Schizosaccharomyces pombe: one gene and its partner. The protein of the gene in region 1 interacts with the protein of each later gene in a pairwise test. Each region holds a gene or a part of one and is shown in the gene's direction. Other genes may lie near its edges.

Evidence for each region. Proteins that work in one complex are often made in the same cells at the same time.
Region 2: the proteins of SPOM_SPAC13C5.05C (region 1) and sam1 interact in a two-hybrid assay, tested with the Schizosaccharomyces pombe proteins (one large-scale study listed by BioGRID).

Annotation. Positions count from the first base shown.
Region 1 is NC_003424.3:427,952-435,471, reverse strand, and holds SPOM_SPAC13C5.05C (N-acetylglucosamine-phosphate mutase), read left to right. Parts: upstream 1-2,252; 5' UTR 2,253-2,268; coding exon 2,269-2,318; exon of another isoform or gene 2,319-2,358; coding exon 2,359-2,444; exon of another isoform or gene 2,445-2,489; coding exon 2,490-3,910; 3' UTR 3,911-4,105; downstream 4,106-7,520. Other genes in the region: protein mug121, read left to right, coding at 371-596, 641-948; SPOM_SPAC13C5.04 (amidotransferase), read right to left, coding at 4,596-5,342; nuclear membrane protein Tht1, read right to left, coding at 6,154-6,819, 6,882-7,486. UniProt on the Schizosaccharomyces pombe protein: Catalyzes the conversion of GlcNAc-6-P into GlcNAc-1-P during the synthesis of uridine diphosphate/UDP-GlcNAc, which is a biosynthetic precursor of chitin and also supplies the amino sugars for N-linked oligosaccharides of glycoproteins.
Region 2 is NC_003423.3:4,160,423-4,168,082, reverse strand, and holds sam1 (S-adenosylmethionine synthetase), read left to right. Parts: upstream 1-4,224; 5' UTR 4,225-4,406; coding exon 4,407-5,555; 3' UTR 5,556-6,014; downstream 6,015-7,660. Other genes in the region: ubiquitin ligase Doa10, read right to left, coding at 1-139, 190-263, 329-367, 422-495; Fe-sulfur ATPase Rli1, read right to left, coding at 1,206-2,930, 3,368-3,424. UniProt on the Schizosaccharomyces pombe protein: Catalyzes the formation of S-adenosylmethionine from methionine and ATP. The reaction comprises two steps that are both catalyzed by the same enzyme: formation of S-adenosylmethionine (AdoMet) and triphosphate, and subsequent hydrolysis of the triphosphate.

The DNA of each region.
Region 1 (7,520 bases):
ATGTTGGAAAACTGATTTAAATCACATAACCTTATTGTATTGGTTGGTTATATCCGATTTCTTGCAGAAGTACATTCTGTGTTTTTGAACGTTTTTTGTACCGTGAAAGAATTAATCAAAATTACTTTGGAGTTTCGATTGATTGTTATGGGTTTACCTGGACTTTTTAAGATTCTCTCTGCATTGTTTATCATATAATGAGTATTTAGCGTAATGTTTATATCATCGTTGTAAGCGGCATTGCCGGCTCGGTTAGGTTTAATCCTAAAGTTATTTCTCTAACGGAAGCAATATAAAAACAACGGAATTAGCCATGCTTTCTTTCAACATTTGAGTGCAAGTTTTTAAGTTTTGAGTGAAAACAACACTTATGAAGGGTTTTGTTGTCATTTCCCGATTCATTTTGACACTTTTCATACTTATCACTCCCGGTTTGGCCGGTGTAGTCAATTATGCAGAAAATAGTGAATGGAATGTTCCTAAGTACGGAAACGTCTTAGATTCTAACTGTCAAGGGCAGAAACCTGTTACATTTTTTGGATCTGTAACTGAACATGTTTCAAATTCCTGGTGGATTAAACTTTACGATTATATGAGTACGTTGATGATACATCCATTCCAATTGGCTAATTATATTTAGTGACTTTTATTAGTGGTGAAAAGTTGTGCATGCAGAATGTTGCGTACGAATTTGAAGATATTTCTTTATGTATGGATGTAGTAGGCAGTAAATGCATTCCAACTTTGCAATCAACGGATATTGAGAAAGTTGTCAATTCAACATCTGCTTACTTAGAAAATTCCGAGTCCGACTTAACTTTGGGATGTTTTCAAATCCAAAGATTTCAGGAAGAAAGCACATTGTATATCAGGGCCCTCAAATCATCTGAACCCGTTTCATGCGACACAGTGCGTTGCATTCATTTCAACCATATTCCTTACGTATAGAATGATCTTTTGACATGCTTTTTACTTACAACTACAACGGTTCAATGAATTGAGAAGTTTTTTTTTTTGAATAGGCATACCGCAAAGATTAATGAGTCCGTTTTCATCGATTTATGTTGTCTTTTATAGAGTTGTATTCACAAAATTTTCTGAACAAATTTGGATTGTTGTTGTGTTGCAGCAGCTAGTTCATTTGGTCAACAAGACTGCAAGGATATTTTAAATTAGACTCAGAAACTAGAGATAATTTGTTTACCTTGTTGTGAGCTTGGGAGATCAAGCTTTTTGCTGTGTTTTATGATATTATTTATCCCGTTAATTTTTACTTACGTTTCTGAATGGAATGTGAAAGCCTTTTTATTATATAAGTTTGAATTGCTTTAGTATACAGGCTTCAAAAAAATTTTTATGTGATTCTCGAATCAGTATATTGTAATTGGTGTATTTCGTAATTTATTGGCATAATAAGATCTTGCAAATTGTCCAGATGTGTTTTAAAATCTTGTTATTAGCATGTATGCTGTTTAAACCGCAATTTAAACAATGTGTTGAAACGCTCTATTGCTCTTCTCGCTTAATACAAGATATTTATGTGCTTGTGAATTTAGAATGAGTAATTGCTATTACAAACTTAGGAAATGTAAGTCTGTTCACTTAGTCGAAATACTTAAGTGTATTCTAACTAGTACAGGAAGTGAGAAATCCAAACTATTGTTGACATGTTTGTTGCCCAAAAATTCTACAGAACATGCTAATGCGACTATAAAGACAATATAGAGAAATCCGTAAAACTATATTAAAAAGGTTACTTGTCCATTCAGCTCATTGAAAGTCAATTAAAACTGTTTTATTTAATAGCTTTTCGATACGTAGTTTCCTTACAATTAATAAGCTATCAACTATTTTTATCAAAACAACATAAACAAATTTTTAAAACTGGGATTAAAAACAATCTTAGTTGAGTTTAGCATAAAATCTTAAAGTGTAAACATTTACGTTTATTCTTTAGGCAAACCGCAATTGATTAATCTGAGCCAAATCTTAAAAATTGTATTAGAAACAGCGGTTCCTAATTTGAAATAAAAACATTACTATGATGGGCTTTATGTAAACATTGGAAGAAAACGAGAGGATATAAAATTGTGCAGAGTACTTTTAGCTCCAAAACACGTTCGAGGTTTTAAACGAATTGCTATCAAATAATTTAAAATCTATCAATCTGCAGAAGCGAAATGCAGAGAGGCTGAGTTGTTATTTTCGACTGAATTTACTTATTGCGTGACAAACTCGCTTCTTTATTTACTAACAGCAACTAACACAATGACCAAGAACAAAAAATATTCATATGGAACTGCTGGTTTTCGAACAAAGTAAGTTAATATAATGCAGCTTTCATTAACTTGATCAAAGAGCTAGTGATTTGGAAGCAGCTGTTTATAGTTCTGGAGTTGCAGCAGCTTTGCGTAGCATGGAGCTAAAAGGGAAAACTATTGGCGGTATGTGTAGTCAAGTAGAAATATTTGATTAATAATAATAAATAGTAATGATTACTGCTTCTCATAATCCTGTGGAAGATAATGGTGTGAAGATCATTGACGCCGATGGCGGTATGCTCGCTATGGAATGGGAGGATAAATGCACACAACTTGCGAACGCCCCTTCCAAGGCAGAATTTGATTTTTTAATCAAGCAATTTTTGACTCCTACTACCTGCCAGCCCAAAGTTATTATAGGTTATGATACCAGACCCTCCTCACCCAGACTCGCTGAGTTACTGAAGGTATGCTTGGATGAAATGTCTGCAAGCTACATAGATTATGGGTATATTACAACACCACAGTTGCATTGGCTGGTGAGGTTGATAAACAAATCTACCGCAGCTTCTTTTCTTGAAGAAGGGCCACCCATTACTGAGTATTATGATACATTAACGTCAGCCTTTTCTAAAATAGATCCTTCAATGCAGGATAGCCCTACGGTTTCTCGCGTTGTAGTAGACTGTGCAAATGGTGTAGGATCGCAACCCTTAAAAACAGTAGCGGGCCTTGTTAAGGACAGCCTTTCTATAGAACTCGTTAACACAGATGTTCGGGCCAGTGAGTTACTTAACAATGGCTGTGGAGCAGACTTTGTAAAGACGAAACAGTCCCCTCCGCTTGCCCTTGAAGGAAAAATTAAGCCAAATCAACTCTACGCTTCCATTGATGGTGATGCCGATCGACTGATCTTCTATTACATAAATCAAAATAGGAAATTTCATCTTCTTGATGGAGACAAAATTAGTACTGCTCTCGTTGGCTACTTGAACATATTGGTTAAAAAGTCCGGTATGCCTTTTTCTTTAGGCGTTGTCCAAACCGCGTACGCCAATGGCGCTTCAACTGAGTATCTTCAAGATTTGGGCATTACTACTGTCTTCACTCCCACTGGTGTTAAACATCTTCATAAAGCAGCCAAAGAGTTTGATATTGGTGTCTACTTCGAGGCAAATGGCCATGGTACTGTTTTGTTCAGCGACAAGGCGCTTGCTAACTTAGCACATCCTTTCTTTACACCTTCACCAGTTCAAGCGGCTGCTATAGAGCAATTACAAAGCTATTCCGTTTTGATCAACCAAGCTATAGGTGATGCAATTAGTGATCTTCTTGCTACGATTTCGGTACTTAATGCATTACATTGGGATGCTAGTGCATGGAGCAATACTTATAAGGACTTGCCTAACAAACTAGCTAAGGTTAAAGTTTCCGATCGCACAATATATAAAAGTACAGATGCTGAACGAAGACTTGTGAGCCCAGATGGATTACAAGAGAAAATTGACGCACTTGTTGCAAAGTACGAAAAGGGAAGATCATTTGTTAGAGCATCTGGAACAGAAGACGTTGTACGAGTTTACGCTGAGGCCAGCACAAAACAAGCGGCAGATGAACTTTGTGAAAAAGTTTGTCAGCTAGTATTATAATTGTTAAATTTCCTTTTCGAAATTACTACTCATTTGTTTACGACATAATCAAAAAATTTATCGCTTGACGTTATGTTTAAAATAATAAAAACATTGAGTGATGCTTTAAAACCGTGCTTTATTCTATCTAATTATAGAGCCATGTGATGCTTAAAAGTAATAATCACAAGTAAGCAAAATTGCAAAGAACTGATGAAAATGTTAGTAAAATTTTAATTTATAAAATTAAAAATAATATTCGTTTTTTGAACAATTTTTACTTTCAGAAATAAAGGGTCTGTTCCTCTTCACTGACAAATAAATGTCTGAGAGTGGTGCATGAGACAGTGTATCATCATTAAAGTAAAATTAAACTTTTTCTTTTTACTTACCAAAACTAATAAGTTGACGGTTTAAACATATTTGGAGTTTGGTTAATTTACTGTAATGGTTTTCAGTTTACAAATAAATAGGTCTGCACGTGACTGTCTTTCTAAAGCCGACGGTCATTTTGCTATTGCAATTTTTGTCATGCAAATATACAATAAAGTATATAATCGTTTAAGTTTTTAATTGATTTAAACTGATATATCATTAGACATTTAGTGGAAGATATCTAGTGAAAGTCATTAAAGCGTTAATAAGTAATGTAGGGAAGAAGTGTAGAAACATTATAAGCAAACACTCTTGTCATAACAGATTTAACTTATTCCAAAAGAAATTTAACAATTGATACCGCGAGGAAGTCATTGTCGGCTGGATTTTCTGAGCGTTTCAATGCTTCTTCTTTTTGCTGTTCGGTAAATACTTCAGTTCCGCGGAGAACTTTTACCATCGTATTGACAACTTCTGTGCTAAACTCTGGATGTCCTTGAAATGTTAGTGCCTGTCGAGGCTTGTAAAATATTTGAAATTCACAATCTTCAGTAGAACCCAATAGCTCAAACCCTTCGGGAACATCAACTGCCATGTCTTGATGCATTTGGTTAATATTGATGACTTTTCTACCAAAGAACTTCTCCCCGTTTTCAGTAAGTTGAACAACAGTAGAAGAAACTTCCCATCCTTTAGGATTTTGAATAATAGGAACGCCGGCAGCTTTGGCAACGATTTGATGACCAAAACAGAGACCTACAATTTTAATATGTGGGTATTTAAATAAAACGTCTTTCACAAAGCTTATCAATTTCTTTATCCAAGGAGCGTCGCTTGTTGCAGATGCTTTGGAGCCGGTTATAATGATTGCGTTTATATTTGGAAAATCTTCTTTTTGAGGATAATCGTTTGGATTCTTATATACCTCGTAAGTTTTGGTAACTAAGTTCCATTCTGTAGAATAATATTCGGAACCTGATTGAAGCAACGATTTAACCATATCTGCATAATCACCGTATGCGCTGGTGATTTCTACCATTGGTGTATCTGCGTTCAGAATCGCAATATGATAATCCATTTTCAAATTAAAATCTTTTTAGTTGATAAATAAAAGCCTTGGAAAAAATATGAACTAGACGGGTAGTATATATATGTAGGAATTTTGCGAGTTCTAACCGCTATAATTACGTTATGTCCTCATGTGTGTAGCATGAATGAACAAACGGGATAAATGGTCAAGCAATTGACGACAGGCGTTAAGCTAGTATTTCACATTCACTGAAGAATCTAGATAAACCATTTCGTAAACTACTGTTTTTGTCAACGTTACGTAACATATTATAATCGTTTGGATCACAAAAACCTTTAGTACCACTTCAATTAAGAAGAAAATTATTTGCCTTCGACTTTTTCGGTTATTTTCTTACTTAGTATAATAAGGTTTTTGCTAAGGTGATGACAGAGAGAACGATTTGCAAAAAGTTTGAATATAAGATATTTTTAGTAAGTTTAATCCATTTCAATTAGTTGAATAAATTGATGTTGAAGAAGGTGATGGAACAGGTGTTCAGATTTATGTATCGCATGATTGTTCATGAAAATGACTTAATGTCCTCTAAATATTGATAGTAATAGTTCACCACTTTAGGAAATAATGAACAAGGAGTTTTGTATTTCATAGGGATTAATCTTCAATTGTTTTAACTCAAACATAGTCATACACGTTGACATTTTTTATGCGCCTAAAATTTTCTACCATATCATACAGGTATCGGTAATTGCTCTAAGTCGAAATGCTCGTTCACATCACGCTTTGATGTCATGTGAATGAAAACGAGTAAAAAAGATTCTTAAGATGTAGAATTTATTAATTCGAATTAGAAAGATGACTAATCCCACCATGGAGATTGCTCCAAACTTTCACTATTCAGGAAAGCAAACCTAACATTTTCCTGTTTGCCCAGTTTTTCCTTATTATTTTCAGAGCCAAAGAGGTCGATTAACGAGTTTTCTATTGGGCATAGATAATTGTCTTCTTGAACTTGAATATGTTCATTATGATATATATTGCACTCCTCTGGTGCTGGAAGGAAAAGAGATAGCTCCGTATCTTTTTTGGAATTTCGGTATTTTAGATATCGCAGAAAATTTAATAAAGCACATAAAAATGCTGTCAGATAGAAAGTACGGATATTTAATTTAATAAACGAGAGAGTTCGCGCAATAGTGCAAGTGATCCATCCGTAAAGATTCACCCATGAGGTAATCTTAAAGCAGTAAATATGAATAAAGATTATTGATAAGGAGCCGAATACAATAATCGGTCGGCGATGTATTTTTAAAACTTTGAAAAATAAACTGCTTAAGGTAGCGAACAGCGTGAAGCCTATAAAAGCAAAACTGCTAATAATGTTGGACAATCCTTTAAAATATACATTCATAAACTTCTCAACAATGTCAATAAGAGGCCTTAACTGTTGAAGTACCTTAAGGTGATCTTTACTGACATTTAAGAAGTCTGACTTCCATTGAAGTATCTGTTCGTGTTGCAAATTCTATACAGTACTGTTAGACAAAGCAATAACGATGAATATAAAAACCATTAAGTAAAACTAACCTGTTGCTCAGAGGATAAACGTTTCAATGATTGAAGCTCCTCTTTCAATTGAATTGTAAGATCGTATAACGGTTGAAAACCTGAGTTAACAAAATCGATGTTGGATTGCACTGATTGCTGTAATGAATCCTCGGTTGTAGTAATTAAATTTTTTATCCTTTTTTCCATAAAAGCAGAGAACTCACTGGTATATTTGCCGATAGCGGAAAGAGCAATTGCATTTTCTGAGGTAAACTTTTCATTCAATTTTTCAATTAAACTATTGGAATAACCAGCACTTTCTTCAATAAAATTAGCGAAAAAGGAGTTTATATCAAATATTTCCGATTTTAGTTGTTTGATTGTACTTAGTATTTCTTTTTGTTGTACCATTCCTTCCTGTTGATGGTTTTGCAATTCGACTAAGCCCATAATTTCTTGGTTGACACGAAAGTTGATATCTTTGAAAGAATTTTCGATAACTGAATTAAATTTTCCATCAAACTTATCAATACGTTGATTCATTTTATCTGTCACGCTCTCAAAGTTTCGCAAATGCAAAATTACCATTTCCAAAAATTGCTTTTGCACAAGAGTTACATTCATATTCACCTCGATTGATAATTCTTGTTATATTGTTAGTTTGTTAGAGTTTATTTA
Region 2 (7,660 bases), on another chromosome or scaffold:
ATAAGAGGTAGAAGGACTGTCCAGCAGAAGAACGTAAGTAAAACACGAGTAAAAAAAATAACTCGTTGTTTTAAAGTACTAGCAAGTTTTCTACACAAGATGGTAAAAGGGATTGTACGTGGCATAGATTCTGAGTATACTGAATGAGTGTTAGTAATCAAAAACAAAAAGAAATCATAGTAATATTACCTTTTGTAAACTCAAACTTAGCTTTGCAAAGTTCACAATGTGTTTTTTTACTGTGACCTAACCACTCTACTAGACTAAAATATATTAGTGATTATAATTTCTTTAAACATCTGACTCAATCTCATCAGTAAAAACTTACCATTCCTGATGAACATATCTGATACTTCCAGTACATTTACTAAATTCGTGTTATTATTTTAAATTGCATAAAAATTTATCAATGAATTCTTACCATGGATGGAAGAGAGGTGAATCTGGTGCTCCCTCACACCGGCACACCCGGCAAATTTCATCATCTGCGTTCATTGTATTGCATTCAAGTCAAGTGGACAGTAAATACGCTGAAGGAATTCCTCAAGGCGACGACTATTACCACTTTGCCTTTGATTACTCTAAGGGCTTATGTTTAGGTGTTGGCAACTAGTTGTCTTCTTGTATGGCAAAACTCGTCCCAGCTTAACGAGAAGTAACGTTGATACTTTTCATGAAATTTCAAGTATGTTAGAAAATGGTGAAAATAACATAACCAGGAGGTCTAACAATGGATGTTTTGAAAAAAACACTCCAATTTGTTTTATTATTTAGAAAACACGGAAAACTAGCTTATATAGAACTCAACGCCACATTATCAAATATAGCTTTACAATACATTCAAGGGAATTTGTTCTCGTTAAATCTTACACATACTTTTCAAAACGTGAGAATTTATACGACCAAGTTGAAATTAGCTTAAAACACAAACAATTATATATAGTGTAAATTAAAGAGACGTTCACACTCTGAGAATTTATTGTATTTCAACTAATATTTCATACAACAATTCCCAAATACCAAATAAATTCTAAAACAAGTGCCCAATTACCTTAAGCATAATTATATGAAATAGACAAGAACTTTTTTTCTCAAAGAAGGCCGCCTCCAAACAAAGCTTTTTTACAACCAAAACCAATTTTGAGTATACAATTATGGAAACAAGGCAAGTAAACATAATAGAACCCCAGTATAGCCATTAAACATTAATTTTCAAGGAAAAAATAATTTCCTGCATTCTTTTGCTCTTGATCCATTTGACTGTCGAACTTGTTGATACGTGGTCTCAAGGTATTAGGATCACGACGGAATGTAACATCCAAGTTCTTCAAGAAAGTGTTCATACCAGTAAGAAGTGATTGAGGAGGATTACATCTAGCATCACGAGAAGGTTGTCCCTCGAAAAGGATGACACGGTCAGCCAAATAAGTAGCCATGATAAAATCGTGTTCAACGATAAAAGCAGTCTTGCGTGAGTTGACAATAAATCTCCTAATAACCTTGGAAGCAATAATACGCTGCTCTGAATCAAGATAAGCAGAAGGCTCGTCAATTAAGTACACATCAGCAGGCATACCCAAAGCTAAGCAAATGGCAACACGTTGCAATTCACCACCAGACAAGTTCAATACCTCTTGATCAATGATGTTGTCAATGCTAAGAGGCTTGCAAACTTCACTCTGAAACTTGCCATTCAAGAAAGCAGCACGAATCTTTTTCAAAAACAGCATACGAACGGTACCTTGAAATTTAGGTGCGATTGTTTGGGGCTTCATGCTAATCTTCAAATCCGAGTTCTTAGCCATCCACTTGCAGAATGTAGTTTTACCAGTACCATTCTCACCAAGCAATACAATAATCTCAGCATCAGAAAAACCACCAGACTTAATTGTAAGCTTGAAATCACCTTGCTCAATGACATGATCGGGATAATTGTACTCCGCAGTTCTGTCAGCGGTAATTTCATCAGATGCGTCAGCAAGACGGAATGTCAATGCCTCAGAACGGAATCTCAAATTCTCGGTAGGAATATGACCGTCAAGGAAAATATTAATACCTTCACGAACAGAATAGGGGAGAGTGACAACACCATACATAGAGGGGACGCCGTATAATACACAAACGAAATCGGAGAGATAATCAAGGACGGAAAGATCGTGTTCAACAACAATCACATAGTTGGTAGTAGCCAACAAGCTGCGGATTACACGACCAGCTTTGAGACGTTGTTTAATATCCAAATAAGACGAAGGCTCGTCAAACATGTAAACGTCAGCTTTTTGAGTGGCTACGGCAGCAATAGCAAATCGTTGAAGCTCACCACCAGAAAGATGGCCAACCTCACGATTTAAAAGATTTTGAAGATCGGTGTGATCCATAACTTCTTCAAAATTATTGTTGTTTGCACGAGCTTTAATTAAACCAGATACAGTTTTGTCACCAGTTTTAATCGCCCGTGGGATATGATCAACGTATTGAGGTTTGATAAGAGCCTTAATGTTATCTTCAACAACTTTGGTGAAAAAGTTTTGAAGTTCACTACCACGGAAGTATTTGACAACTTCAGCCCAGTCAGGAGGATTATCATAACGACCTAAATTAGGCTTCATTTTTCCGGATAGGATCTTTAACGCAGTAGACTTTCCAATACCGTTAGTACCAACTAAGCCCAAAACTTGACCAGGACGAGGAGTAGGCAAACGATGAAGCTTGAAAGAATTAGCAGAGTAACGATGGGTTACTTCACTTTCCAAGTTAGTGGGCAAATTAATAATGTTGATAGCTCCGAATGGACATTTTTTGACACAGATACCACAACCAATACATAATGTTTCACTAATAAATGCAATGCGATCGGTAGGATTAACTTCAATACACAATTTACCGGTGCGCACGACAGGGCAAGACCGGCGGCATTCTTGCCGACATTTCTAAAATATTGGTGAGCAAACTAATAAAAACCAAACATTCTAAAACCAGAAGCATTAAAAGCAAAGGAAAGTTTCGTAAGCAAGCAATAAAACGTATTTTAACGTGACACAGACCACTTTGAAAGTTTATTTAAATTTTCGGTCCTTTACCTTACAAGAACCTTTAGATTCGTTTAACCAACATATGGTGACAGCCAAGCCAAGCAAAAATTTACTACTAGTCCGAAAGTGCTTGGCAGATCGTAACAGGATCAAAAAATCTGAACAGAGGTACAATCAGGGCAGTTAAAATATGTTTTAATACTTGAACAAACAAAATTTGACTCAACTCTTTTCGTGGAAAACTTTGTGCACACACAAAAAAGCTCCAGTCATCCACAACGAGTAGACTATAACCTTCTACTAATAAAGCTCCTTTAATTTTTTTATTTTCTTACCTTTGGTCTACACTTATCCTCACTAACAATGGCGATTCTAGTAAGACTTTCGCTCATGGTGTTGAGTAGGGTGCAGTTGGCAAAGGACAACTTAAGGTGCGCCCAATTTTTTGCTTGTACTACCAGTCAACCTACTACAGTTTATAAAAATGCTACATTACATTTCGAATAAAATAAATAAAAAAGATAAATTCAAGTTTCTGAGACTGTAGAAAGATGTATTTTCTTAAATCGTCATTACGAAAATTTTTTATTGCCAATACGGACCTAGCGCTAAGTCATTGCCCATTTAATTGCAGACCAAATAATTGGTCAAAGATATGAAAGTTTGGAAGAGCCAGTTTTTGCAATTAAAAAACATAAGAATGAAGAAAAGAAAAACATCCTTCAATCTGCATAAATACTTATAAGATGCACATTGCATTAGCACACTCAATGCCCAAGTCCAGCCAATATCTAAGGGGACAGCTGGGTTTATTATATATTCAAGCTTCTTTAAATATCTACTAAATTTGCAGTATATAGTTCATCAATCGTAAACATAATTGTAAAAATAAATTGACAGTCAAAGACCCTTCTACTTTTACTTCAAATTGAAAATACAGCGATTTATCAAAATACGAAATACACTTTTTCGTGCTTTCCTTATTTTTTTAATTCATTACAGTCTAGCACTATAAAAAATTTAACATACTATTACCCCTGCTTTTAAATAACAATTGCGCAGAACAATTTGTCTCTACCAGATATCACTATTCTAAAATTGCTCAAGAAATTGAAAAAATGGCGCTACCATCCTGATAAGCAGTCACAACTATAATCAGCATATAAGGCTAAAGAATAACCTTACTTGCTTTACGAAACCTTGAGAGCTTCTTTTGACGAAATTCGCAAGCATATCTACATTTATTAGATTCATTGATAAAGAAGGGTTTTCATTGTTTCCTTATATTTGACGAAACTAATCGCTTGTCTTATTGTTCAATCTTTTCTAGTTTTTTGATTCCATATTTCCTTTACAAGTATCTTGGATTCCCCAATGGCTCAAACTTTTTTGTTTACTTCTGAATCTGTCGGTGAAGGTCATCCTGACAAAATTTGCGACCAAATATCTGACGCTATTTTGGATGCTTGTTTGAAGGATGACCCCTTTTCCAAGGTAGCATGTGAGACCGCTTCCAAAACCGGTATGGTAATGGTTTTTGGTGAAATTACTACTCGCTCACAAATTGACTACCAAAAGGTTATTCGTAATACCATTAAGAGCATCGGTTATGATGACTCTGAGAAGGGTTTCGATTACAAGACTTGCAACGTCCTCGTCGCCATCGAGCAACAATCTCCTGATATCGCTCAAGGTCTTCACTATGAGAAGGCTTTGGAAGAGCTCGGTGCTGGTGACCAGGGTATTATGTTTGGCTATGCAACTGATGAGACCCCCGAGAAGTTACCTTTGACCATTCTCCTTGCTCACAAACTCAATGCTGCCATGTCTGTCGCTCGTCGTGATGGATCTCTTCCATGGTTGCGTCCTGATACCAAGACTCAAGTCACTATTGAATATGAAGAGGAAAACGGTGCTGTCATCCCCCGTCGTGTAGATACCATCGTCGTCTCTGCTCAACACGCTGATAGCATCTCTACTGAAGACTTGCGTTCTGAAATTTTGGAGAAGATCATTAAGCCTACTGTCCCTGCTCATTTGTTAGATGAGAAGACTGTTTACCACATCCAACCTTCTGGTCGTTTCGTTGTTGGTGGTCCTCAAGGTGATGCTGGTCTCACTGGTCGTAAGATTATTGTTGATACCTATGGTGGCTGGGGTGCTCACGGTGGTGGTGCCTTCTCTGGTAAAGACTACTCCAAGGTCGATCGTTCTGCCGCCTATGCTGCTCGTTGGATTGCCAAATCTTTGGTTGCTGCTGGTTTGGCTCGCCGCTGCCTTGTCCAACTCTCCTATGCTATTGGTGTTGCTGAGCCCCTTTCTATTTTTGTCAATACTTACGGCACTTCTTCCAAGACATCTGCTGAGCTTGTTGAAATTATCCGCAAGAACTTTGACCTTCGTCCTGGTGTTTTGGTCAAAAGCCTTAAGCTTCAAACTCCTTTCTATCTTTCCACCGCTTCTTACGGTCACTTCACTGATCAATCCAAGCCTTGGGAACAACCTAAGGAGCTTAAGTTTTAGACAGATAGCTTAGTGCTATCATTAGCTTTTCTCGTTTGTTACGTTAAATACGATTAGAACATGTAACGAATTCTCAGTTGATGGCTTTATGGATACATGGTTTTCTTTAAAGATGAAAAGATTTTAGAGTTGTCTTTATTTATTCTATGTTTGCTTCTTTGTTCTTCAATTGTGAAAGATATATGGTTTTATATGTTAAGTCCTGGTTCAACGGATATGTATTTTTTTTTGGACTGGGTAGGCACAAATTCAACCTTTGTGTTTATGACTGCATCTCGAAGCGGAAAATACACTAAGCCAAAAATTTTTTTGCATACCGACATGTTAATGTTTCTTTTACCGATAGGCTTAGTGTTATTTGATGCTTTTCACGATAGTTATTATTTGCTGACTTTCAACTAGTTGGCCACTTTCGTTTAAATTGAGTTAATTATATGTTAATGGATTTGGTTCAAGACATAGTGTTTTAATCGTATAAGAACGAGTACTCATCTTCACTGTAGCTAATTTAGCTCGCTCACTTGTAACAAGGTGCATGCACACACAATACAAGCGTTTTGATTTTATTGTAATTTGTAATGAATTGAAAATGTCAAACTTAAAAAGGTAGACAATCATTCAGCTTTCAAGATGATCTGTGATAGTAAATGTCATTGGATTAAAACACATTGCTTGCTTACATTATTGTATTTATGGAATAAGCGATGGATTCTCAGCGATCCTAAAAGTACTTAGAATTATATTGGTCTTTTTTTTTGTAGTATAAATATTCAAAAATTCTTCACTAGATGTCTACGGCCATACCTAGGCGAAAACACCAGTTCCCGTCCGATCACTGCAGTTAAGCGTCTGAGGGCCTCGTTAGTACTATGGTTGGAGACAACATGGGAATCCGGGGTTTTGTAGGTTCCTTCTTTATTATTGCTGTTTGGTTTTTACCTTCTCTTTTGGAGCATATTTTGAGTACTGAATTGTGAATCTCAAATTCTATAGATGTTGCTACTCGTTGATTAAGCAATGCTAGAGCAGACTTTGAACTCTCAAATCAAATAATTAAGAAGTTTATGAAAGAAGGCTCTTGTCTTTGTCATGGGTATCGTCAAGCAAAATTCGATGTCTACATCAGATATTGTATAGGAAAATTATCAGATGAATTAGGAAGCATTGTCAACATGCAGAAAGAAATACGGTGTACCATAATACAACATTTGGAATATTTACTTCAATCTGCTAAACTACTTTAGAAGTCAACCACATAATATGGTATTGTCAGCAATACTGCACTACGATATGACATACTACGTTGCGTATCACTATATGTCACATGTTCAACATCAGATCATAGATATCCGTTGATAACAACTATTAGAAAGATTATAAATAGAGCTACAACTGAACCTCGTTCCTCAATTCAGTTATGAGCTATATCGGTGACCGATACTAACAGACTTCTTATAACAATAAATATACATTGTTAGTTAACATACCGCATACCGCTACATTGTAGATCGCAAGTAAAAACTCACCGCAGTTCTATATATCGTTAAAACAGATATCAAACTGCGTAGCTAACCAGTATATATTATAACAATACATGAACCTACGGTAAGTTTTCCTTGTGATCTATATATTGCAATATGTAAATAACACAGTAGCAACTGAATAAAAGGTATTCTAATATTTGAAATGTATGCTTTATCTTTACTGAAAAAGCCTTAGCTAAAGTGGAGAACGAGATTCAGTTCATCTCAGTTTACACTATGAATTGCTAGTATTGTAACAGCTAGTTATCTTATCATATTATATAATAAAATCTCTAGCATGAAAACTTATCACGTTAAGTTGGTAGAGTAAATAAAACATGGGACATATAGTGATACGCACGAAATGAATACACAGAGTATGTTGTATTGTTGATGTCGAAAAGTGTGTCTTCATGCTGTGAAAAGAAGCTGTTATCAAAAAAAAACGTTTGTCCAAAACGTAAATCCAGTAAAATGTTTTTGCTACATTAAAAGACACTTTAGGAATGAAGCATGATAGTAAATTAGAATTTCATCTGAAACTAGCAGATATTGATCCTACACTTTCCAATACTGCACTTA